Linked DNA regions of Mytilus edulis. The main gene of each other region encodes a partner of the protein of the gene in region 3 in a complex. Links are inferred from orthologs where the notes say so. Each region holds a gene or a part of one and is shown on either strand. Other genes may lie near its edges. The genes, in order: synaptobrevin homolog YKT6-like, protein prenyltransferase alpha subunit repeat-containing protein 1-like and geranylgeranyl transferase type-2 subunit beta-like.

Evidence for each region.
Region 1: the proteins of geranylgeranyl transferase type-2 subunit beta-like (region 3) and synaptobrevin homolog YKT6-like are in contact, whole or in part, in a crystal structure (PDB 6J7F), measured with the Homo sapiens proteins. The link is inferred for Mytilus edulis from reciprocal best matches to the Homo sapiens genes RABGGTB and YKT6. Residues at the interface, in NP_004573.2 of Homo sapiens: Thr3, Pro4, Gln5, Lys6, Asp7, Ile9, Lys11, Tyr37, Leu45, Trp52, Leu236, Asp238, Cys240, Arg281, Gly283, Asp284, Met285, Asp287, Phe289, His290; in NP_006546.1 of Homo sapiens: Lys60, Gln62, Asp63, Leu65, Asn83, Glu84, Tyr85, Pro86, Ser87, Leu153, Asn155, Thr156, Glu158, Arg189, Lys190, Cys194, Cys195.
Region 2: the proteins of geranylgeranyl transferase type-2 subunit beta-like (region 3) and protein prenyltransferase alpha subunit repeat-containing protein 1-like are in contact, whole or in part, in a crystal structure (PDB 6O60), measured with the Homo sapiens proteins. The link is inferred for Mytilus edulis from reciprocal best matches to the Homo sapiens genes RABGGTB and PTAR1. Residues at the interface, in NP_004573.2 of Homo sapiens: Lys6, Asp36, Tyr37, Cys40, Met41, Glu43, Tyr44, Ile89, Gly90, His91, Asp92, Asp136, Trp138, Glu140, Phe177, Asp178, Gly182, Cys183, Arg184, Pro185, Gly186, Ser187, Glu188, Ser189, His190, Gln193, Trp217, Glu221, Arg222, Pro225; in NP_001093136.1 of Homo sapiens: Val61, Lys62, Leu65, Pro66, His69, Leu73, Arg76, Leu97, Asn98, Asp100, Phe101, Thr102, Thr103, Asn106, Lys109, Glu110, Leu113, Ile141, Arg144, Trp145, Pro192, Ser193, Tyr195, Ser199, Ile202, Trp203, Gln206, Val231, Ser232, His234.

What each region holds. Positions count from the first base shown.
Region 1 is NC_092347.1:81,091,706-81,099,401, forward strand, and holds the start of synaptobrevin homolog YKT6-like, read left to right. Parts: upstream 1-4,348; 5' UTR 4,349-4,641; intron 4,642-7,650; 5' UTR 7,651-7,668; coding exon 7,669-7,696. UniProt on the Homo sapiens protein: Vesicular soluble NSF attachment protein receptor (v-SNARE) mediating vesicle docking and fusion to a specific acceptor cellular compartment. Functions in endoplasmic reticulum to Golgi transport; as part of a SNARE complex composed of GOSR1, GOSR2 and STX5.
Region 2 is NC_092347.1:89,620,798-89,629,065, forward strand, and holds the start of protein prenyltransferase alpha subunit repeat-containing protein 1-like, read left to right. Parts: upstream 1-5,036; 5' UTR 5,037-5,057; coding exon 5,058-5,128; exon of another isoform or gene 5,129-5,141; intron 5,142-7,769; coding exon 7,770-7,939; intron 7,940-8,268. Other genes in the region: programmed cell death protein 7-like, read right to left, coding at 1,555-1,641, 2,099-2,230, 3,558-4,805.
Region 3 is NC_092345.1:46,312,303-46,320,030, forward strand, and holds the start of geranylgeranyl transferase type-2 subunit beta-like, read left to right. Parts: upstream 1-4,394; 5' UTR 4,395-4,518; coding exon 4,519-4,521; intron 4,522-7,728. Other genes in the region: (3R)-3-hydroxyacyl-CoA dehydrogenase-like, read right to left, coding at 4,313-4,343. UniProt on the Homo sapiens protein: Catalyzes the transfer of a geranylgeranyl moiety from geranylgeranyl diphosphate to both cysteines of Rab proteins with the C-terminal sequence -XXCC, -XCXC and -CCXX, such as RAB1A, RAB3A, RAB5A and RAB7A.

The DNA.
Region 1 (7,696 bases), on a different chromosome or scaffold from region 3:
GAATAAAGTTTTTTTCCAATCTAAGGAATGTCATCGAAGAAAATTTAAAAGCGAAAAAGGTAACTAAAAAGAATTTGACTTTTGTAGATATATAACATTAAAAGGCAATAAACTTGATAAATGTACATGGTTCTGCATTAAATTCATCTAGACCAATTCCGTAAAAAGAGATTTTTTTTTGTAATTTGATCATTACAAGATAATTTTGAATTAATGTCTTGTCAAATTCAGTTGTAACACAAACCATGAAAAAATAATAAATAAATCCGGTTATGATGACTTAGATCTTTTTTTTTAAATTAGCAAAAAAAATTAGTATTAAATTTAGTTTGAAGAGCAAAGTTTATATTTTAGAAATGCATTATCATGAAAACAAATTTTCTTGTAACAATTTTAATTCAGATTGTTAAACAACGTTGACTTCGTATTTGATTTCTGATTCGCCGTTGGTACCTCAGGCACAGGCACATGTCTCAAAAAAAAAATAATTCCTATATACCTTAATATAAACTTTAAGGTATTTAGGGGGGAAAATTTGAGACAAGTGTCTGTGACCTCAGACTCTACTGGTAGATTCAGATTGTTACATTTTGAAATTATTGGGGAATGGAGCCAAGAAGATCAGTATTGGCATGATAATACAAATACTGTTAACTTTACATTGATAGAACTTAAGAAAATTACTTGAAACTCAGAAAGACAATTCTCTAATGCATAACTCTGATTCCTTAAAACCGGGTTTGACTTTACTTTGGGTAGTTTTCTGTAATTTGACTACTTTAGGTAACAGTTTTGTTATAGGTTTTTAATTTACAAATATCTTCGCCTTGATTACCCTTAACAAGTAATCATTTGTCGAAAAGAGCATTGACATCGCAAATGTATAAAGTTTTTATAAGACCCACGTTGACATTGAAACAAAATTGCACGTACTACACTGGCAAAGAAAATATGTCCATTTCCTTGAAAACTACAGACGTACAGCTTATTTTACCATACTATGCTTCACTCACAGGGTAAAAATCTGAAAAGTTTCCCTTTCACAATACTGAATGTTTCATCAGGAGATCAGTTTGAGCGAATTGAATGATACAGTGTAAGAGATTAGAGTAAGCACAGTAAATACAGGTACATGTCATCAAAAGATGAAGAAGAATAAAATGAGCCACTAAACCGGCACAATGAACTGTATGTATAGTCAAGATTTAAATTAACATTAAAAAATAATTAAATAGTGAGATTGATTTATTGATAAAAATCATAATCAGGTTTCAAAATTGGTGTTTAAATTGTCGTTAAGTAGTAATATAACTGCGTGATATATGGTAAAATATATGGAAATATCTCTTAAAATAAGTACCTTTAAACAATTTTCAAAACTTTGGCCTGTTAATGATAAGTTAGTTTTATAAAAAATGAATAAATCGGTAATTGAAATGAAATTAAACCCGTTATTTGTTATGACTATTTTTATGTTTGTATCATATATATACGTGAAGACAGATCTACATGCCGTGCAGATCGAGACATGCACAGAGTTATGAATCTTACATTTTTTTTAATGTAATTTGATATAAATACCATAATAGTAATAAAACTATACTATGGAATCTGGTCTTTAAAAGTTTTCTTCGTGTCATGGATGTTCTACTATACAAATCTTTGTCGCATGTACACCAGGAACATCAGGGATAGAACGAGACTCTAGACCATTATCCCAATACTCATCTGAATGATTTTCTGAACACCAAATCACACAAATATATGAATAACAGTTGAAATTCTTCATTATCTAGATGCAAAGTGTTTTTCTTTGAACTGATACTGAAAAATTACGAAACATTGAACATTCTTATTCTAGAAAAGTGGTTTATAAAGTTACCCTTAATTTCAGAAGGCCACTAACGCTTATAAATGCTAGCTTGAACTACTCATTTTTTAATGCTGGCACAAACCTTAATCGTATATAAAGTTAACTGATGTTCTACAGCGATTTGAATATAATAATTTAAATATTATATTTGACCGACAAACATGAAATGTGTTAGTTAGTTATATATATATATATATATAGATGAGATGATCATGTATATATTTGACATTTCACATTGCTCTCATCACGTTTGTTTGTATTGCACAATTGCAAGTATAGACTTTATTATAGTTTCGAGTTGTTTTGTTGTTTCGTCTGACAGTCGAAGTCGAGAGTTTCAATTAACTCCACAAATCACAAAACAAAGCTTACGACAATTTATGATACTGTAAAGCACTCCATGTACGTTTTTGACATATGAAACTATTTTATATCCTTTTCTTGTACAAGACCAGCCATACCATTGGCTGCATGCATTTCAAAATTAAATCTTGCCAAAAATGTTTCTATGTTTCAAGCTTGTCCACTCTTAACGAATTCTTTGTTTGATGTTGCCTATCGGGAGATAGGGATTTTTTTCATGTTACATTAAACATGTTACTTGTGTTAAATCTGACAAGGACAAAAAATGATCATAATGTTGAGCTCTTCTAATTGTTCATGGACGTCAAAAATTGCTCTTAAAAAGCAATTTTTACCAATTCAGTTCATCATTTAGCCTTTCATCTTGAAAACTATTACAGACAGAGAGAAACTTTAAGTTGCAAAAAGAATAGCAATCAAGATCTAAAGATAAGAGCGTATTTTCGAAGTCGTCGAAATCGTCAGTCGACTTCCTATAAGAGTTATTGCCTATTGGTTACAGATTTTTCCAATCATTTTTTTCATGATTGCCTTATAAAACTGTAAAAGATAGATCGATTTTTTTTTTAAATAGTGACTTACAAGGAAAGATCTACATTTTAGACAAGTGGAGGAAATAATCTGACTCATTATTGGAGTTATTGCTTTAAATGACAATTTTTACCATTCAGTTTGTTTTAAGCGTTTTGCATTTATGATACAAATTACAGCCGATAAATAGAAACGTTGAACAACAAAAACTACAAGCATGGTGAGATCCACAAACAAGTAAAATTTTATAAATATTGTTAGTAGGGCTCTTCATATTTCACGGTGATTGCACTTTAAAAAATAAGTATTTGTGTACCCCTTTTTATGTTTTGAGCAAAAATTAAAGAAGATAGAGAGAAATCAAACACAAAATGATCAGCAAGACATGATCAACAAAAACAGTTTTTTGTCAGGAATTCTATTCTTATCCACTTGCAATGTTGGAAATTCCATTGGTTAATAGAATCATTGGATTAGGTTAGCGACACATACAACTATGTTCTTTAGGGACCCTATTTTATATCCAAATGGACGAACAGTTATTTTTTATCTCCAAAAACATTGACAGGCCACCAGGGGCGGATCCAGCCATTTTAGAAAGGGGTCAAACTACATATTCCCATTCAAATGCCGAGAATCATAGTGATCGGCCAAAAAAAATGAGGGCCCAACCCCCGCCCCAATATTTTAATTATAATACTTTATATAGTCAAAGTTAATCATCTTTATCTGTGTACATTATTAATATTACTACACATGTAAAAAAAAAATTATGATTATGAAGAATTTTATATCATGAAAAATAAGTAGATGTGGTAAGATTTGCCAGTGAGACAACTATCAAAGTTCAAATGATGTGAATGCAAGCAATTTTTGGCAACCGTGTGGGCTTCAACAATGAGTATAACCCATACAGTATAGTATGCTCAGTCTTCATTAAAACATGTAGTGGTATAGAAAATATTCCTAGATCCTATGTCAAATAAAGTTTAGTGTTAAGTAAGGGTCTTGACGGGGTTTACATAATAGAGAACAATGGACCAATGCTACAGAAAACTAAAATGGCCACACACATATAGAATACAGTAGAGACAAATGTATGCTTTGTTATGGGCGAAATAAATGAAGAATAGAGAATATTGGGATGTTAAAATATTAAGAATTATAGACAAGTCAACAATTGGTAGTTAAAAAGGAATCATAGTATAATGGACAAAAACATATCAATAATATAGAACGATTTCGAATGACCTAATAAAATAATACAGAATTGAAATTCCTCCATCCAGACCCTCTTGAGTTGCTTCATACATATGGGGGGGGGGGGCACATAAGTATTAGTCCCAGATAGGCTATATATGATAAGACACTGAGTTATATTTTTTTTAAGCCAACAATATATTCAAAAGATAAGTATTTCATTTGGTATTTCGTTTGATAACATACATAAATAGTCTTAGATAATGATTGAATTTAACGAATATTAATTAATACCAATAAAAATCATTTATGAGCATTTTCCGTATTTGTAATACGGATTCACGCGTCCGGTAAGTTTTGTGTTTTATAATTTTATCAAGAGAAGGTAACTCTGTTTAACGTCATTTCCTGTGTTGTCAAAATTGCCAAATATCAGTGCCCGTGATTCATGTGACATTTATAGTAATTTGTCAAAACAAAATGACCCTGTTACTACTTTGATTTGTTTTTGTCACATCTTAAGAGCATTTTTGAAGAGGAGGTTTCGATTTATCTTTACGGAAACATAATTTTTATCACAAAATATTGGAAAATATTTTGTGCAACATATTTTGACCTGAAAAACCTGAGAAATTCAAATTTTCATTTGAAATAATTGCAACAGTGTAGATAAAGTAAGTGTTAGTTTTCTATATTAGTTGAAAAAAAAGTACAGTTGTTCTAAACTAATGAAGGTTACAGGTGATTAAATTCTTTACAAATTAAAGTCTCCAGTATGACTAGCTGCGGAACCGTAGCTCTTAGGTCCTTATGCTATTTTTTGACTATTTGCGGACCATAGAGCTATGGTCAGCAAATAGTGAAAAAATAGCATAAGGACATAAGAGCTACGGTTCCGCAGCTACAGTATGACTTGGTATCAGGTGGGTCTCATTGGGGTCTAAGCGTGACGCGGGATTGGCGATTTTTTGTAAGCGTGACACGTGAAAGTCAAATTATTGTGGCGTGAAAACGGGAAATGAGGTCTTGCAGGACCCGGGAAATGACAAAAAAATGAGAATTGCTTACGTACATAGTGTAAGCGGGATATGGGAATCTGACAAAACAGTAAGCGGGATCCGGGATCGGAACCCCCCAATGAGACCACTTATCAGGTCTGGTCGCTCCTAAGACACATTCACCCCCTTCAGGTTTGCAAGTGACCCCACACGTTCATCTCTTTTAAAATCATATTTGTACAAATAAAAAATGTATATGAAGACAAGATAACCTTTTATGAGATAACTATACATGTACATGTATGGTGCAGTCCGGTGTATCCTCACACGTAAGATTTATGACTTCCAGGGTTTTCGCTGGCGGTCGCCATTTTCGCAATTTGCGAAAAAATAATGATTGTGGCGATTAAAATTCGTCATTGGCGAAAGAATTTGGCAAAAGAAATATATAAAACGATTTATTTTCAACCATCTTGTTTGTTTACTTTTTTTCGGATTTCTCTGTCTTTACCTGGTCAGACAATACTCGGAATTCACCTAGAACTCGTTAAGATTTTGACAGATAATCAATAATCAGCTGATTGCATTTTATGCCTATCGACATCAAAGGACTAATTAATAAAGGTTTTGATTGTAATGAGAAAATGATATGGTTGAATGGCGTTCGTTACATGTCACTTTAAAAAGGATCTATTAACGTGACTTTGCGACGCACGTGTTTGAAGCAAAATTTTGACGACTCTTCTCCTTCTTTTAATGATAGTCCAGAAAAGAAAACTTGCCTATGAAGGATAATGTTCAAAAGCAAGAAAGGTCTCTAATTTAAAACTTTATCATTTAACTTTGATAATCGATAATTGATTGGAGTGGGTACTTTTAAGTCGTTTCAGTGACACACATGTTTCAAGCATAGTTGTACTTACACATGTATTGGCGATGGTATAGAAAAGAAAACTGTCTTTATAAAGAAATGTATTCAAAAGGTTGGGAACAACCCCTCGAATAAAAATAACCCTTCAATGTTATGACTACACCTTACATGAGGGATCAATGTCAAGTGATAAAAAAACTTTTGTTTTGTTGTAAAAAAACACTTCTTAGTACAAAAGGACACATGTTATTATTTTTTTTTAAACTTTCCCAAAGAACTGTGACATTTTCATGTAACCAAGATTATATTCCAGGATTTATATCTTCTTTAATTTCAAAAAAAAGTGGTCCCTTTCTTTTAAAGTTGTTCAAAATATAATCAATTTTCCCTGTACAGTTCTTTTTTTTTTTATAAGGTAAATGTTTAGTATTTTTATTTATTACAATACAGACCGAAAGAATAGTTTTAGAAAGTAATCTTAGAAAGCAATGGGGCAAAGTAATCTTATTGAGGTTTGAGGGAGGGGAATTCAAAAGAAAGATATATTTGTGTCATATGGCGAAAAAAATAATAAAGTGGCGAAAAATATATTGTTTTGGCGAAAGAGGTGGCGAAAAAAATAATTGACCCAGGGGAAACCCTGATGACTTCACTTTATTAGAATGATAAAACCAAAAATCGGATAATATTGTGTGAAACATTTCATTCAATACTGTTAATTTCTTAAACTCTTCTGTACATGTATGTATGGTTTCACCCTTAAGATTGTGTGTGATGTGTATCCAAAATTTTGAAACCCCTTCTTCTTTTGTTACAGAAAACCATCAACGTACTAATGTTTACTTTCCGGCGGTAACTCCCTGTTTTGGGAGTTCTTTAAATGTCTAGTGATTTCATGCATGCCTTTTAAAAAATAGTTTATGTTGAAGAAAAGAAAGATTTTATAATACACACTATAATTATTAATAATTGAATTTAAACCAAACAGACTGCCAAGGATACAGAGCAAAATTTATTTCAATCTAATTTAAATTTGACTTTAATGAAACAAATTTTATCTGTTTATATAATATTTTTAATGGTAATTGTCTAAATTTGGTTAGTCATCGAATTGTAGTTATAAAGTTAATCTTGACTTATCAATTTTAATCTTTTTTGTCCCTTTGGAATACTAAAAAAATGACAAGAATGATTTTGTTACATTGTCCATATGACAAAATCAGGTAATGCACAACATCACCAGACGCACAGGGACTCCACTGTACAGTAACAAAATATTCACTGTGTTAATTTCCCTACAAACATATGTTAACAAAAATTACATGTGTAATACTCTTCTTTAACATTTTTCAAAACAGAATGACCCTGTTACTAATTTGATTTATTGTTTTCACAACTTGCTTTTTTGTAGACAAGATTTTGGTTCTCTTAAAGGAAAACATAATTTTCTTTAAAAATATTGGAATTTATTTTGTGTAACATATTTTGACCTGAAAAATCTGAGAAATTTTCATTTGAAATAATTGGTACTACATTGTAGATAAAGTAAGTGTTAGTTTTTTTAATTTGTTGAAAACAAAAGTACAGTTGTTCTAAACTAATGAACATTACAGGTGATCAAATTCTTTACAATTAGTCTCCACTCTCCAGTACGACTTAAGCTTGGTATCATGTCTGTTCGCTCCCAAGACACATTCGCACCCTACAGCTTTGCAACCCACACATTCACCCCTTCAACAATTACATTTGTACAAATAAAAAATATGTATGAAGACAAATATACATGTTTAATACTGATCTTTGACATTTTTCAGAAACAAAATTCAAGAACGATGAAGCTTTATTGTATAGAAGTGCTAT
Region 2 (8,268 bases), on a different chromosome or scaffold from region 3:
GCTTGAAATATCTTTTTTCAATACCTCTGATTATTAGTATCTCCATAATCAGAAATGTTTTGTCATTTACAAATTTAAATTTAATTGATGGAATTCTAATAATTTTAATCTAGCGATATATATATATTTAGTGTATTGTAACCCATGGACAGACCTAAACTTAAGTGACATAGTTTTAGTGTTAAGGTATTCAAAATCTTTACTCTGTAATGTAATGTAAAATTGTGATATGTTTGTTGTACAACTTCATATCTGTTCATGATATCACCAGTTTCTAGACTCTTTGAATATAATCATATCTATGTGTTCCTGTACTGTGTCAATTTTTTTCTTTCAAAATTTAGACTTTTAGAATGGTGACATCATGTTATCCAAGAAAAAAAAAGTTCAAAGAAATACTTTAACTAAACTATGAAAAACATCCAAATAAAAACTATGATAAAACAAGGGTCATGGACGTCTGAACTGATATCAATTCAACTGCAAACAAAGTAATTTGCAGTTAAAAGATTTGTTGAATCAGATCATAGAATGAATGAAATGTCAACAGTAATTGAAGCTGAAAGGATATAATACAGTAATGCAAAAGGATATTTGTATAAACAGGCTAATAGTATTCTTTTTGTCCAGCTAGAATGTTCACATACTGAAAATAATACAAAAAATAAAGTTATTTCCAAATTTCATTTAATTTTTTTATATGATGTTGTGTTTATAGTATTCATCTAATTATTTTATATTCCATAATCATTTTACAAACAATACACAAGGCGTTAGAACTTTTTACCATTCATTATCCCAACGTTATCAAATTAACCAATGTTTGGATGAACAAAATTACTGGACCCGACTTCATTTGTTTGTCAACTCTTCTTGTACAAACACCGCTTATTCATACATCTAACTTTAGTTTTTTATGTACAAATGTATAAAGTAATTTTTCTTTAAGCATTTAATGAAAACTATCTTCATACATGTTATATGTGTCAGTACAGTACAGTTAATACAGCTAAAACATTGCCCTTTTCAGGTTTTCTTAAAATGTTTTGAATGAATTTACTTTGCCAACCCTAGACACATGATCTCATCTACTTATTCAAGATAAAAACAAATTAATAACAAATGAATGTGTTTCTACTTATACACGCACTGTACATGTATTATAATTTAAACCTGAAACTAACCTTCTTTTTGATGAACCTTATAACTGATACTTTTGAAATAAATTGAAAATCATAACTTCATAAGGGAACTAAATAAACTGGGATAATTTGATTCCAAAAGGATATGAAGGATCAAAGCTCAAAACCATATCATCTATCAGCTACAAAATTTCTGGCAAAGACAATGATCAAATTATATTACATGAATTGTAATACAAAGGGAGGAGGATTCTTATGGTTGAGGAGTCTTAAATAGAAGGTTTGGGTTAATGGTACATGAATAACTAAAGCCTTTTATTATTTTCATAACCATTGGATATTTCAGGAAAATTCTGAGCTGTTTAAAGTTTTGCACAACTTTGACACAACAAATTAATAGCTTTCAACAAACCCTTTTTTGCATCCTCTTCTTAACTTTCATTCTTAAATCCAGAACATCTACTGTGGACAAATATTTCCTTATGGCATCCATTTCATCCTGTACAAATATAGACATTTCGAAATTATTTTCAAAAATAAAATAAAGATATTATTGGTATTCAAATGAAGAAATTTTAATGAATCATTTCAATCATGTCAATATGTATGTAATGTATGTGATTAGATCCATACACATGTACATTGTAGGTACAAATGTATTGGTACTAAAAACAATTGTTACATCATTCAGCAGTATACATTATATATATGTAAATTTATTTAAATGAATTCCATCTTTTTCAAGTTTCAATTATTTGCACAAAGCATTAAAAAATCAGCAATCAAACAATTATCTATACATTCTATATGCATGATACAGATGTATGTTTAACATACAAATGTACATGTACACATCCCATACAAAAAAAATCCATAACAACTAACAACATGGAACATCTGGATTCCTGTATAGTTTAAATATTTCTCTTCCATGATTCTTTATAGTTCTTTCATACCTTCAATTTATTAGTTGTTCTCATTTCTTCCTCAATCTGATGTTGATCACATGATTTTAAAATCTTGATCTGTTTTTGAAGGGATGCCATCAGAAACATCATTCTTTTTGTTTTTTCTTGGACATCATATAGCTGAAACATATTATGAAAATTGAAAAAGATGTGTATAAATAAAGCAATCTTGCATTAAACCCTACAAAATTTCAACTGAAATATATACTTTTTGCATAAAGAATTAAAAGTTTTTCCAACATGCACATTTAAATGCTTTGCATACAATGTTTGTACATTGTAAAGACAAAATGTTTGAGACTTTACTTTGTAACAACTACTGCTTCCCTTAGTTGGTATCTCAAGGAAAACAGACTTGCTGTAACCCTAGCCTGGTCCCTTACATACATTTGTATAACCAACATGACCAATCAACAAGTGTACACATGTATATCTTAACACCTGTAGATGGTTTAATCATGTCCAGTTTTATTTACATTAACTTAACAATTTTTTAGGGGAAAAGATCCTTAGCTTTGACTTGTTTGATGGTCTCAACCTGTGTGATATATGCAATAGTCCAACAAAAAGGTAAATTAATGTCTGTTAAGAGTTAAAACTTTACTTGCAACTTTGAAACTTACACATATAATACGTTTTGGCCTGACCCATAGAGTCTTGTACTTTGAACAAAATTGAGGTTGCTGTCTAATTGATGTGTACCCTACATTATGTAGCTACAAGTACACGAGACATGAAGTACAATGTCATGAATGAAACATTTATCACATCACAATACAGTTCAATAATTCAATCGATTGAATCTTGTTTGTCTATCATTGGAATGTTGCAATACTTATTTTAGAATTGTACTTCAGCGTATTTTCACTAGATCATTTATGACACTGCTCATCTATATATATTGATATATAGATTGAGTATTGTTAGCCGGTAAACAGACAGAGAGTCACAAGACATGAAGTCACAAATTTGATAGGTCAAAAAGTCACAGGACAAAAAGTCACATATAATTCTTCAACAATTGTTTGAATATACATGTATAAGAGAAAGATCCAGAAATATTTTCTTTTTACTACATACATATGTATATTAATTTTTCAGATAAGGAAATTTGTCACAGGTTTTGATAAATGAAAATTCATCACATTTTAATCATGCAAAGAATATATTTCTTAGCACCATGAAGACATTTGTGTACCAAGCAACTTTGACATTTTGTTTTAATAACAATTATTTGATCATTATTGATATTTATTGAAAACATTTTAATTACAAAATTAAAGTTGCCTTTTATATCATTGTATATAATAGTTCAAGAAAAAACAAAAATATTCGTTTTTAAATTTGTGTTTTCTTGTTCAAAGAAATATACATGTAGTCTCAAAACTGAATTGTGACTTTTTGTCCTGTGATTTTCTGTCCTACATTTTTGCTAGCCAATTCTTACATTAACTGGTGTTTTGACACATTCTTTTTTCTGGACCTTCCAATCATCAGATTGTATTCCTTTTCTATCAAGCCATGATTTTATCCACTCTGTATCTTTTTCTTTCCCTGGCAGTACAGTTGCATGTTCTGTCTGAATTAATTCTTTTTTAAGTTGAAACGGCTGCTGGTGGTGCTGCTGAATTTGCTGATTCATAACTGGCTTGAGTGGAGGAGGATGAGAATTTGGAGGAAACGGATTTGAACCTGCGTAGGGTTTTGGTTGAAAATTAGGTGGTGGAAATGGATTAGGAAATCTGTTCATTGGTGGTGGCATTCCAAGCTGATTATTTCTGAATTGCATATCATTTTGCAAAAATGAATTGGAAGGAGGTGGACAATTTGGGATCATCATTTGTACAGGTTGAACTGATTCAGGAACACTAACATGACTAAGTCCTTGGTAGTCCAATGGTTTTGTAAATTGGTGAATTTGAGGATTTGTATGATCTTGTTGTCTATTGTCAAACGGTTTTTCAGTTTGTGCGAAACTCAAAGAACCCAGCAATTCAGAACTTTGTTGAGGTGATATTATGCTTGACCTTTGCACAAGTGTGGTGCTTTCATCCTGATCAGGAATAACATCAAGACCTGGAATTTGCATATTCTGTGAATTGAAAGTTGATTTTGATTTTTGTATTTCTTCTTGTGCAACTTTTGTAAAAAAGTTTCCACTACCTTTACTGTCAAGAATTTCATTCTTCTGATCATTCATTGACCAGTTAAAAGGTTTTTGATCATTCATCGACATGTTGATAAGTGGAGCCTGGTGATAGCCATCGATTGATGTTTGAGGTGTAATTCTCGAGTCAGAACTGTATTTTGCCATGCCAGTCCTATTGCGATTTGGATCTCTCATAGACATAGAAGTGTTTAGCTCCCAGCTTGAAGGTTGTGATTGGTCTTGTTGGCTGCCTTGTGTTTGCCCTTGGTTGTATATTGGAAATGAAGAAGGCCCTTGTGGTCTACTACTTTGAACATTGCGATTATCAACTCTTTCTTCAAATGAGCGTTGATTTTGCCCGTGTTCATTATTTGGAAAATTGGACGTGATAGTGTTTGTGTTTTGAAACCTTCTTGGTTGGTTATTTCTTGGGGTGTACTGTCCCGGTGTTCGTGGAGGAAAATTGTGTCTCTGGTTTTGGCCTCGTGTGACAAATCGAGGATTTGCAGGCCGAAAGTTCTTTCTGCTGTTATTTCGACTGTACATCTTTCTTATCCGTTTCTAATTAAAAAGTTGTTTTTTTTGGTTGGATTTTCATGTGCGCTGACATCTTTAATCTCGTATATTCGTGACTTTAATTTTATTGTTAATTGCAGCAATAAAAAATTTTATTGTGTAAAAGAGATTCATAATAGACAAAAATATTTATATTTGGCGTTCAAAATACAAAATAATAATAAAAAGAACAGTATATTATCTTTTTGTGCGACATCACGTGATCATAACAAAAAATCCAAAATGTCGTCTGACAGCAGAGGATGTCGCCTACTTTCAGATTTAAACAGCGTATTTCGGAAGGACCCCGAGATGTAATTAAAAACTGTAAATTAAGCCCCATTTCGAACAGTTTGGCATTTCAATAGGCGATGTAATTTCATTGAGAAAGCTTGCATTGAACCAAATTCTTCATAAAAACAGATGTAAACAAAGAAATTATTAAGATATTATGTCTTAACTCTCGGGACATTTCGGCCACATAACTTATGTGGCCGAAATGTCCTGAGAGTTATTAACCATATCGTTAAGGTCGTTTCGGACACGGTCGATTCGGCCACACCTATACATCTATATGGGTAATCTGTAATATGTTAAAATTTAAAGTTGTGTCATCCAAAATGTGCTCTTTTAAGGCAGCAACCATTTGATTTTCTGGGGGGGGCTATGGTTTTTTTATCTGTGCAAACTTTTTTTTTCGCCTGCGGCGAAAAACAATCTATTTTTTTCGCGACAGGTCGAAAACAATTTTTTTCTTTCAATTTTAGCATTACATATAGTGGCAGCTGAGGGTGAAACAAACAATTTTTTTTTCTCAGAATCAAAAACAAATTATTTTTTTCTCCAAAAACTGGAAACAAACTTTTTTTTCCAAAAAAAACCATAGCCCCCCCCCAGAAAATCAAATGGTTGCTGCCTAATTAAAATCATATGCACAGGTGCCAAGGCAGATAAAAACATTTGTGTGCTGATTTACAGATATCTGTGTGCTATGAGGTTGGTCTTGAATGCTTCATAGTCGTCAATGTCCAATAGACTAGACAGCAATAAATGCGGTAGTTCATTCCAATTTGTGATGGTTCTTACGAAGAAGCTATGTTTTCTTTGTTCAGAACTTGATCCTAATCTGACAAATCGCCGTTGATGGAATTGACGCATCATTCTTGCTGGTGGTGTCAAGTATTCTGGAATTGGAATTGCAATAAGTTGGTGGATTACTTTGTGAAAAAGGAGTAAACATGATGTTTTTCGTCTCTCCTATAGTCATGGTAGTTGTGGTAGTTTTAGGTTCTCTAATAAAGATGTTACTATGCCTGGGTCTTGAGAATACTCATGTCTGATGAATCTGGCTGCTCTACTTTGGACCATTTCTAGCTGTTGTATGTGTTTTTGGAGATGTGGGTCCCAGCTGGGAACAGTATATATCTATCAGTTAATATATGTTCCTGGTCCCAGAGACTGCTAGCATATACTTTTTCAAATTGTTCTTTATATTATATACACATTGTACTCTCCTATAAAAAAATATTATGTTAAATGTTTGATTTAGATGTTTGGTTTTATCAATCTAATATTTTGTTGAATTAATAACTAAATTATTATATTAACATGATTAAGGTCACATTTATAATGATAAAAGATAAAATAATATAATTTTTGGGCTGTTCGGCGGTGTGCAGTGAGTTCAGTGGTGAAAAGACCTAAAGATATTGAGAGTTTGTTTTGAGAAAGAATATTTTACAACAAAAAGTCATTTTGTCAGAATGACGTACATCCATCTGCTGTGAAAGGAGAGGATATGTTACACATGATAAAGACATTAAAATAACAATTCCTGCTGACTTTTAAGGCTTGATTATCAATTTAAAAAAACAGAGAATAGAATGTAATGTCTTAATCATAATACTTATAGTAAGAACCTTTTTACTACACAAATCCTGGTTCTAATTAAATATTAAGCACTGGGTAAGATTACACAAAGTATCTGACAATAAGAATTCATTATAGCTATATAGTCACTTCTGAAATTGCTGCATTGTATTTCAGGACAGGGACCCATCATTATAATACGGATATTGCAGACCACTATAGTATTTTTTTTTGGTCATATGTATTTATTGTTACTTTTAAAATTTCACATTTGCAAATTATGTCTTTTTTGATATATACAATTTTTGTAGCATCAGGATACATTGTTCTTTGTAAGGTCTTTGTGTCATTTCCCTGTATTTACATGTGATGTAACGTTGCTTTATGAGTTTCAATTGAGAATAGATTATATCTTTTACTTTTTGGATGTTGCTTTGGATTTTACTTCTATTTTTCAAGAATTTTTTCTAAACATGTACATGTATATATTTGTAACTGCACACAATTTGCATCTTGTTAAAATGACTTTGGAATCATTTTAAATGATCATTAAAACTTTGAAATGATATTAACTTTTCACTGACCTCAAATTGCACGTCACCCTCATTGGAATCCCTACTTAAGAATAGTAGGTTGTTTTAATCGACTTTGCTGTTCAAGATTGCCCAACAACTGTCAAACAATAGCAAACAATAGTTTGCACTTTGTCACTTATCTGCTCATTATCACATCTACAAAATGTATAATAACATACAGACGTGTTGAACTTCAAAGGAAATAGCCAAGGAAGTTGTTTCAGATACATATCCAGGATTTTGAAAAATGGGGGCCCAAACTATATGTGAAAAGTCTATGCATGAACCATATATGTAGCTGAACATGAATATGAAAGGAAGTTATTAACCAAAGCCCCTCACTTTGAATTTCATATATACCTTTCCACTAAGTTATTGAAAATTAACACTAAGTGACTCAGTATCGTGAATGATTTTGTCTGGATAAAACATCATTAGAACACAAAATGTGGAAGCCATGCATGCATATTATATAATATATTATAACATTTACATTTTGAATTATTTACAGTGATGAATATGACTTTCTACCAGTACTGGAACCCAAACACAACCGAAGTCCACTCATTCTACAAGACCATAAACTTGGACTTGAGATGTGGAGTGTCAAAATTCTTCATCATTATGCCTACAATACACTGATGACATGGAGGATGAAAGAAGTTAATGCCAAATTCTTAGGTAAAACTACACGCAATACCATCTCAGTTATTCATTTAGTTTAGTTTAGAAAATCAAGAATAAAAGTCAATGCCAAATGCATGGTTTAGATATCAATTTCTTTATTTTAATGCATCATTAAATATTGGCTGTTAAATATAAAAATTAGAAAGGATATGGGCAATGTTTCAAAGAGACAACAACCTGTCCAAAGAACAGAAAACAACTCAAGGCCACCAATGGGTCTTCAACACAGCAAGAAAATCCTGTACAGGAGGCAGCCTTCAGGTGACCCCTAAACAAAAAATGTAAACTAGTTCAGTGAAAATAGATGTCACACTCAATTCCAA
Region 3 (7,728 bases):
CAATGATGATTGTGGCCATGTTTGGTTAAATATGGCCCAGTAGTTTCAGAGTGGAAGATTTTGGTAAAAGACTACAAAAATTTATGAAAAATTGGTAAAAAATGACTATAAAAGGCAATAACTCCTTAAGGGGTCAATTGACCATTTTGGTCATGTTTGACTCATTTGTAGGTCTTACTTTGTTGAACATTTTTGCTGTTTACAGTTTATCTCTATCTACATGATCTAAAATAAAATTCATGATAATAACCAAAAACCAGGGCCGTAACTAGCTTCTTTTAATAGTGAGGCAAAACATATTCGCCGAGCGTAGCGAGGAGAAAAAATTTTGTCGAGGGGTCTTGAGGCCGCTCAAGGCCCCCAGCAGCTCTGAGAAAAATAACGCAATATCACGCATTCGAAGCGTTCCACGGACTCTTTCTTACATTGAAACGCAAATAATCTTTAGCTATTTTTTCGACAACATTCTAGTCTCAGAGCAAAAACATAGATTTATTGTAATTTAAGACTTTTAGGTTTTATGGGCAACATTAAAAGACCGATATGTAGGATAAAGTAAAAATCGTATTTCTCATAATCATTAATACCGGGTTGTCTGTCTGCTCTTGTCTTGTATTGACTTTGGTGATTTTTTTATGACTAGATTTAAATATAGTGACAGTGCAGTATTATACTTTAAGTACTAGTACTGCTTAAGTCGACACTAGGGACCATCTCGACCTTCTTTTACGGTATTAATGATTATTGAAGTCCAAGACCCTCCAGCAACTATCAAGATGAAGAACAGGAATAAAAGCTTTGACCATTGATCATTTGTATTTTTTCTATGCATTGACTTTGTGTGCGATTAGGTCCTGTGCACGTTTACTTCATATTACTTTATTTTCTGTCTAAACAGGACTTAATGCAAGTTTAACCATTCAATATACATGATATAAAAGGTTATACAAAATGTATGGCAATACATTGGTTTTTAGCTCACCTGGCCCGAAGGGCCAAGTGAGCTTTTCCCATCACTTGGCGTCCGTCGTCCGTCGTTGTCCGTCTTCGTTTTTACAAAAATCTTCTCCTCTGAAACTACTGGGCCAAATTAAACCAAACTTGGCCACAATCATCATTGGGGTATCTAGTTTCAAAAATGTGTGGCGTGACCCGGCCAACCAACCAAGATGGCCGCCATGGCTAAAAATAGAACATAGGGGTAAAATGCAGTTTTTGGCTTATAACTCAAAAACCAAAGCATTTAGAGCAAATCTGACTGGGTTAAATTGTTTATCAGGTCAAGATCTATCTGCCCTCAAATTTTCAGATGAATCCGACAACCTGTTATTGGGTTGCTGCCCCTGAACTGGTAATTTTAGGGAATTTTTGCTGTTTTTGGTTATTATCTTGAATATTATTATAGATAGAGATAAACTGTAAACAGCAATAATGTTCAGCAAAGTAAGATTTACAAATAAGTCAGCATGACCAAAATGGTCAGTTGACCCCTGAAGGAGTTATTGCCCTTTATAGTCAATTTTTAACCATTTTTTCGTAAATCTTAATAATCTTTTACAAAAATCTTCTCTGAAACTACTGGGCCAAATTAAACTTAACTTGGCCACAATCATCATTGGGGTAACTTGTTTAAAAAATGTGGTTATTATCTTGAATATTATTATAGATAGAGATAAACTGTATACAGCAATAACGTTCAGCAAAATAAGATCTACAAATAAGTTTACATGACCAAAATAGTCAATTGACCCCTTAAGGAGTTATTGCCCTATATAGTTAATTTTTAACATTTTTCATAAATTTTTGTAAATTTTTAGAAAATATTTTCCACTGTAATTACTGGGCCAAGTTCATTTTAGATAGAGATAATTGTAGCAACAAGAATGTTCAGTAAAGTAAGATCTACAAACACATCACTATCACCAAAACATAATTATGTCATGAATTTATCCTTGTCCATTGTTTAATATGCACAAGACCAAGGTGAGCGACACAGGCTCTTTAGAGCCTCTAGTTTTTTAAATGATTTGATACCGGGAAATTGGTGGTCTTTCTTTAATTTAAACCATGTCAGCTATGTAGTTTTATCCACAGGAGCTTGGGTATATGATACAGATATTTTTTTTTATTTTTTTTTGTTTTTGATTAAAATAGTAAATTTTCTATATTTATAATACATATATCTATCACTTCTGTGCATGTCTCACCTATATATAGCTAGTTTCGAGTGATTTAAACGACTCAGAGAAAATACTTAATTTTACAATCCATACTCAGAAATATTTCTGGTATTTTCTCTGACTCAAAACAAGGTGAGACATGTACAAAAGTGATAGATTTGTATAATTAATATAGAAAACTGAATATCTTAATCAACGGAAAAAAAAAGACAAAAACATATTTGTATCCTTTGATATCAAGTTCAATTATCCATGCAGAAACGACAATTTTTTCTGTGTCCAGTATAGCATCATAGATAGATATAGGAAGATGTGGTGTTAGTGCCAATGAGACAACTCTCCATCCAAATAACAATTTATAAAAGTAACCATTATAAGTCAATGTACGGCCTTCAACACGCAGCCTTGGTTCACACCGAACAAAAAGCTATAAAGGGCCCCAAAATTACTAGTGTAAAACCATTCAAACGAGAAAACCAACCGTCTAATCTATATAAAAAACGAGAGAATATTCTTAAAATATTTTCCCGCACAATATCTGGACATTGGTGGACATGCAACATTGCACACGTTTCCAAATGAAAAAAAACACTCAGACTATAGTCATAAAGTAGGACAATAAAAGAACAAAAGACAAACCGAGACACAGAAGTACAAACAATAGACCATCAACTCCGAAAACCAAAAGTAAAATGGAAACATAAATCACAAAAAACAAGAATGTGTCCAAAGTACACGGATGCCCCACTCGCACTATCATTTTTCATGTTCAATGGACTGTGAAATTGGGTAAAAAATCTAATTTGGCATTAAAATTATAAAGATCATATCATATGGAACATGTGTACTAAGTTTCAAGTTGATTGGACTTCAGCTTCATCAAAAACTACCTTGACCAAAAACTTTAACCTGAAACTCCCACTTTCATTTTCTATGTTCAGTGGACCGTGAAATTGGGGTCAAAAGTCTAATTTGGCTTTAAAATTAGAAATATCATATCATAAGCAACAAGTGTACTAAGTTTCAAGTTGATTGGACTTCAGCTTCATCAAAAACTACCTTGACCAAAAACTTTAACCTGAAACTCCCACTTTCATTTTCTATGTTCAGTGGACCGTGAAATTGGGGTCAAAAGTCTAATTTGGCTTTAAAATTAGAAATATCATATCATAAGCAACAAGTGTACTAAGTTTCAAGTTGATTGGACTTCAGCTTCATCAAAAACTACCTTGACCAAAAACTTTATCCTGAACAGACGGATGGACGGACGCACAGACCAGAAAACATAATGCCCCTCTACTATCGTAGGTGGGGCATAAAAATGCAGGGGCGACATCAGTCCAGTGAAGAGAACTTGCTTCTTGCAAGACACTTTCTGTGAAAACAATTTGATATAAAGACAATTTTTTTAATTTTTTTTTTTTAAATTTCCAGCATGAGACATTTGCCTCATTTGCCTCAATGTAGTTACGGCCCTGAAAACGGCAAAATTTCCTTAAAATTACCAATTCAGGGGCCGCAACCCAACAACAATTTTACCCCATGTTAGATTTGCTTTAAATGCTTTGGTTTCAGAGATACAAGCCAAAATCTTCATTTTACACCTACGTTCTATTTTTCAGCCATGCAAACATTGGTTGGTTGCATGGCGGGGTCATCAGACACATTTTTTAAACTAAAAAACCCAATGATGATTGTGGCCAAGTTTGGTTAAATTTGGCCCAGTAGTTTCAGAGGAGAAGATTTTGTAAAAGTCTACAGATGACAGACGTGAGACGACGGACGCCAAGTGATAAGAAAAGCTCACTTGGCCCTTTGGTATTTAGTCAGATAAGCAGCAAACTGGGCATGTGCATATTAAATTAAGTACATCAATTGGTGCACAACTGTTGCAGGTTACTGCCATCATAAGTAGAAAATGCCATTCTGCCCTTTGTATATTTAAATCTAGTCTAAACAAGGATTTGTATAGTATACAAATCATTGGTCTAAACAAAAATATACCCCTCTACAGACCTCTGTGGACTGGTATTAAAATAAACAAGAGAAGAGTTTAATGTCATAACATAACGTTTTTATAGTACTATGTGAAATAAAAAGACTTTATGATGAGTTATAACACTAAAATATACCAGTTACAAGTGCAAGTTTTCCAGCAAGCATTTTCAGGGGACAGAGGTCTTATCGTCCTATATTTCTAATTTTAGAACCGGAAACCGAAGATGGGGAAACCCCATCCGGGTCGTTGTGATGGACGCCCCCATGACACACATCAACATGAAATATTTATCACATCTATTTTAGGTTTCACGTTATATGAGTTTTCTGACAGACAGAAATGGTAACTAGACTTAAAATCCATGTTGTCTCTCTTATTAAGTTGAAAACAATATTTCGCTTCAGCTCACGAATCGAACATTTTAGCCTTTTTATATACAAAACTTGGAACAGTATTTGTCTAGAAATGTGTCCTAAAATTAACATATCAGAATTTGTAAACTGAAATTGTTCTGGTATCTGATGTTATGAATGTACCTGTTTTGACAGTTTGACAACAGAACAGAGCCTCAATCCTCAATCTTAAAGCCTGTTCGCACGAATTCGGAATTGTCTCAATGTGCGGTTTTCCTCTCTGGTGGATTTCCTCAACATATTTTCTTCTGTGTGTTTTAAATTGGTATGCGCTGGTTAAGATTGGGATTGTGGAACAGCAGTATTAAATCTGCCTGTTCTGTCAATGTAATGTGCCACTGTTAGTAGTTTGGCTTTTGTCTCTTCTGTGCTCTCGCCGTCCAGTCTCGTTAGCATAGTAGCCAAATTCAAGTTTCTGACCCCGACCTCTTTGGATATTTGGTGTAACATATCTTCTCGTTCGTTTTCATAGCAGGGACATTCCAGAAGAAAATGTTGAGGCGTTTCAGGTGCTCTACAATTGCAGTACTCTATGGCGTTGGTTTGGCCTACTCGCGGTTCTTGTGGTCGCAGTCTTGTAATTGACTGCTCCATAGGCTTACATGCAAAACAGCTGAACTTTGAAAATTAAAATGCTACATAGAAATTTTATTTCATGTTCATATCATTTATGTACTAATGTGAAATTGTGATTTAATCGGAAAAAAAAGTGGGTCTTGCCACGAAGATTAAAAAGTTACGTAACCCTGAAGTCAAAACATTTTTTTTCTACTTTATGTTTGCTGTTTTTACTGGGCCGCACTACTTCCAGTAAACATGATATCCTTCCACTTTTCTGGATTGATATCCCCTATAAGATGCAAGATTTTTTTATACAACCGCAAAATTTGAAAAATTTTTCGTCGTATATTGCTATCACGTTGGCGTCGGCGTCGGCGTCGTCGTCGTCGTCCGGCGTCCGAATACTTTTAGTTTTCGCACTCTAACTTTAGTAAAAGTGAATGGAAATCTATGAAATTTTAACACAAGGTTTATGACCACAAAAGGAAGGTTGGTATTGATTTTGGGAGTTTTGGTCCCAACATTTTAGGAATTAGGGGCCAAAAAGGGCCCAAATAAGCATTTTCTTGGTTTTCGCACTATAACTTTAGTTTAAGTGAATAGAAATCTATGAAATTTTGACACAAGGTTTATGACCACAAAAGGAAGGTTGGGATTGATTTTGGGGGTTTTGGTTCCAACAGTTTAGGAATTAAGGGCCAAAAAAGGGCCCAAATAAGCATTATTCTTGGTTTTTGCACCATAACTTTAGTATAAGTAAATAGAAATCTATGAAATTTAAACACAAGGTTTATGACCATAAAAGGAAGGTTGGGTTTGATTTTGGGAGTTTTGGTCCTAACAGTTTAGGAATAAGGGGCCCAAAGGGTCCAAAATTGAACTTTGTGTGATTTCATCAAAAATTGAATAATTGGGGTTCTTTGATATGCCGAATCTAACTATGTATGTAGATTCTTAATTTTTGGTCCCGTTTTCAAATTGGTCTACATTAAGGTCCAAAGGGTCCAAAATTAAACTTAGTTTGATTTTAACAAAAATTGAATCCTTGGGGTTCTTTGATATGCTGAATTTAAAAATGTACTTAGATTTTTAATTATTGGCCTAGTTTTCAAGTTGGTCCAAATGGGGGTCCAAAATTAAACTTTGTTTGATTTCTTCAAAAATTGAATAAATGGGTTCTTTGATATGCCAAATCTAACTGTGTATGTAGATTCTTAATTTTTGGTCCAGTTTTCAAATTGGTCTACATTAAGGTCCAAAGGGTCCAAATTAAACTAAGTTTGATTTTAACAAAAATTAAATTCTTGGGCTTATTTGATATGCTTTATCTAAATATGTACTTTGATTTTTGATTATGGGCCCAGTTTTCAAGTTGGTCCAAATCAGGATTCCATATCAAGTATTGTGCAATAGCAAGAAATTTTCAATTGCACAGTATTGCACAATAGCAAGAAATATCTAATTGCACAATATTGTGCAATAGCAATTAATTTTCAATTGGAGTTATCTTTCTTTGTATAGAATAGTAGTTGATAATATATGTTGGAAATTTGCCAGACATGAGTATGATGTCATTTTCTATTTTTATTTGCCAATAACTTTATGTAAATAACTTCATTGGAAATTTGCCAATATAAAATGTTGCTGATGAAGCTTTTTTTCCTTATCTTATCTAAAATGTTTTAGATAATGTATGTTGGAAATTTGCCAGACATGACTATGATGTCATTTTCTATTTTTATTTGCCAATAACTTTATGTAAATAACTTCATTGGAAATTTGCCAATATAAAATGTTGCTGATGAAGTTTTTTTTATTGTTTTATACAATAAACAATGTATATTCACTTTTACTACCAACCAATCTTTACCATTCAGTGATAACAAGCACTTTATTTTACATTTTAATATTTTATGATGTATTTAAAAGAGTAGTTATTGTTGCAAACTCCATTAGAAATTTGAATTGATATCAGTTTTGGAAAAAGGGAAACAGGGATGTGAAAAAAGGGGGGGGGGGTTAAATTTTTCTCATTTCAGATTTCATAAATAAAAAGAAAATTTCTTCAAACATTTTTTTGAGAGGATTAATATTCAACAGCATAGTGAATTGCTCAAAGGCAAAAAAAAACTTTTAAGTTCATTAGACCACATTCATTCTGTGTCAGAAACCTATGCTGTGTCAACTATTTAATTTTAGATTTAAATAAGAAGAAAATTGATTTGTAAAATCTTGACATTTGTTTTGTGTAAAAAAACCCATGTAATGTCAAAAATTTGATCACAATCCAAATTCAGAGCTGTATCACGCTTGAATGTTTTGTCCATACTTGCCCCAACTGTTCAGGGTTCGACCTCTGCGGTCGTATAAAGCTGCGCCCTGCGGAGCACCTGGTTTAAATCTATATACATGTTTCAATTCAGCATAAACCTATAATCAAACAGAAAAAACTGAGTCCAGAAAAAAATTCAGAAAAAAATGGACTATTTTCATTTGATTTTGTTTCCCTCCATGTTTTGACATGCACCAGAAACTGGAGTTGTAATACAAGACTGGTACCTTGTACATGTAGTAA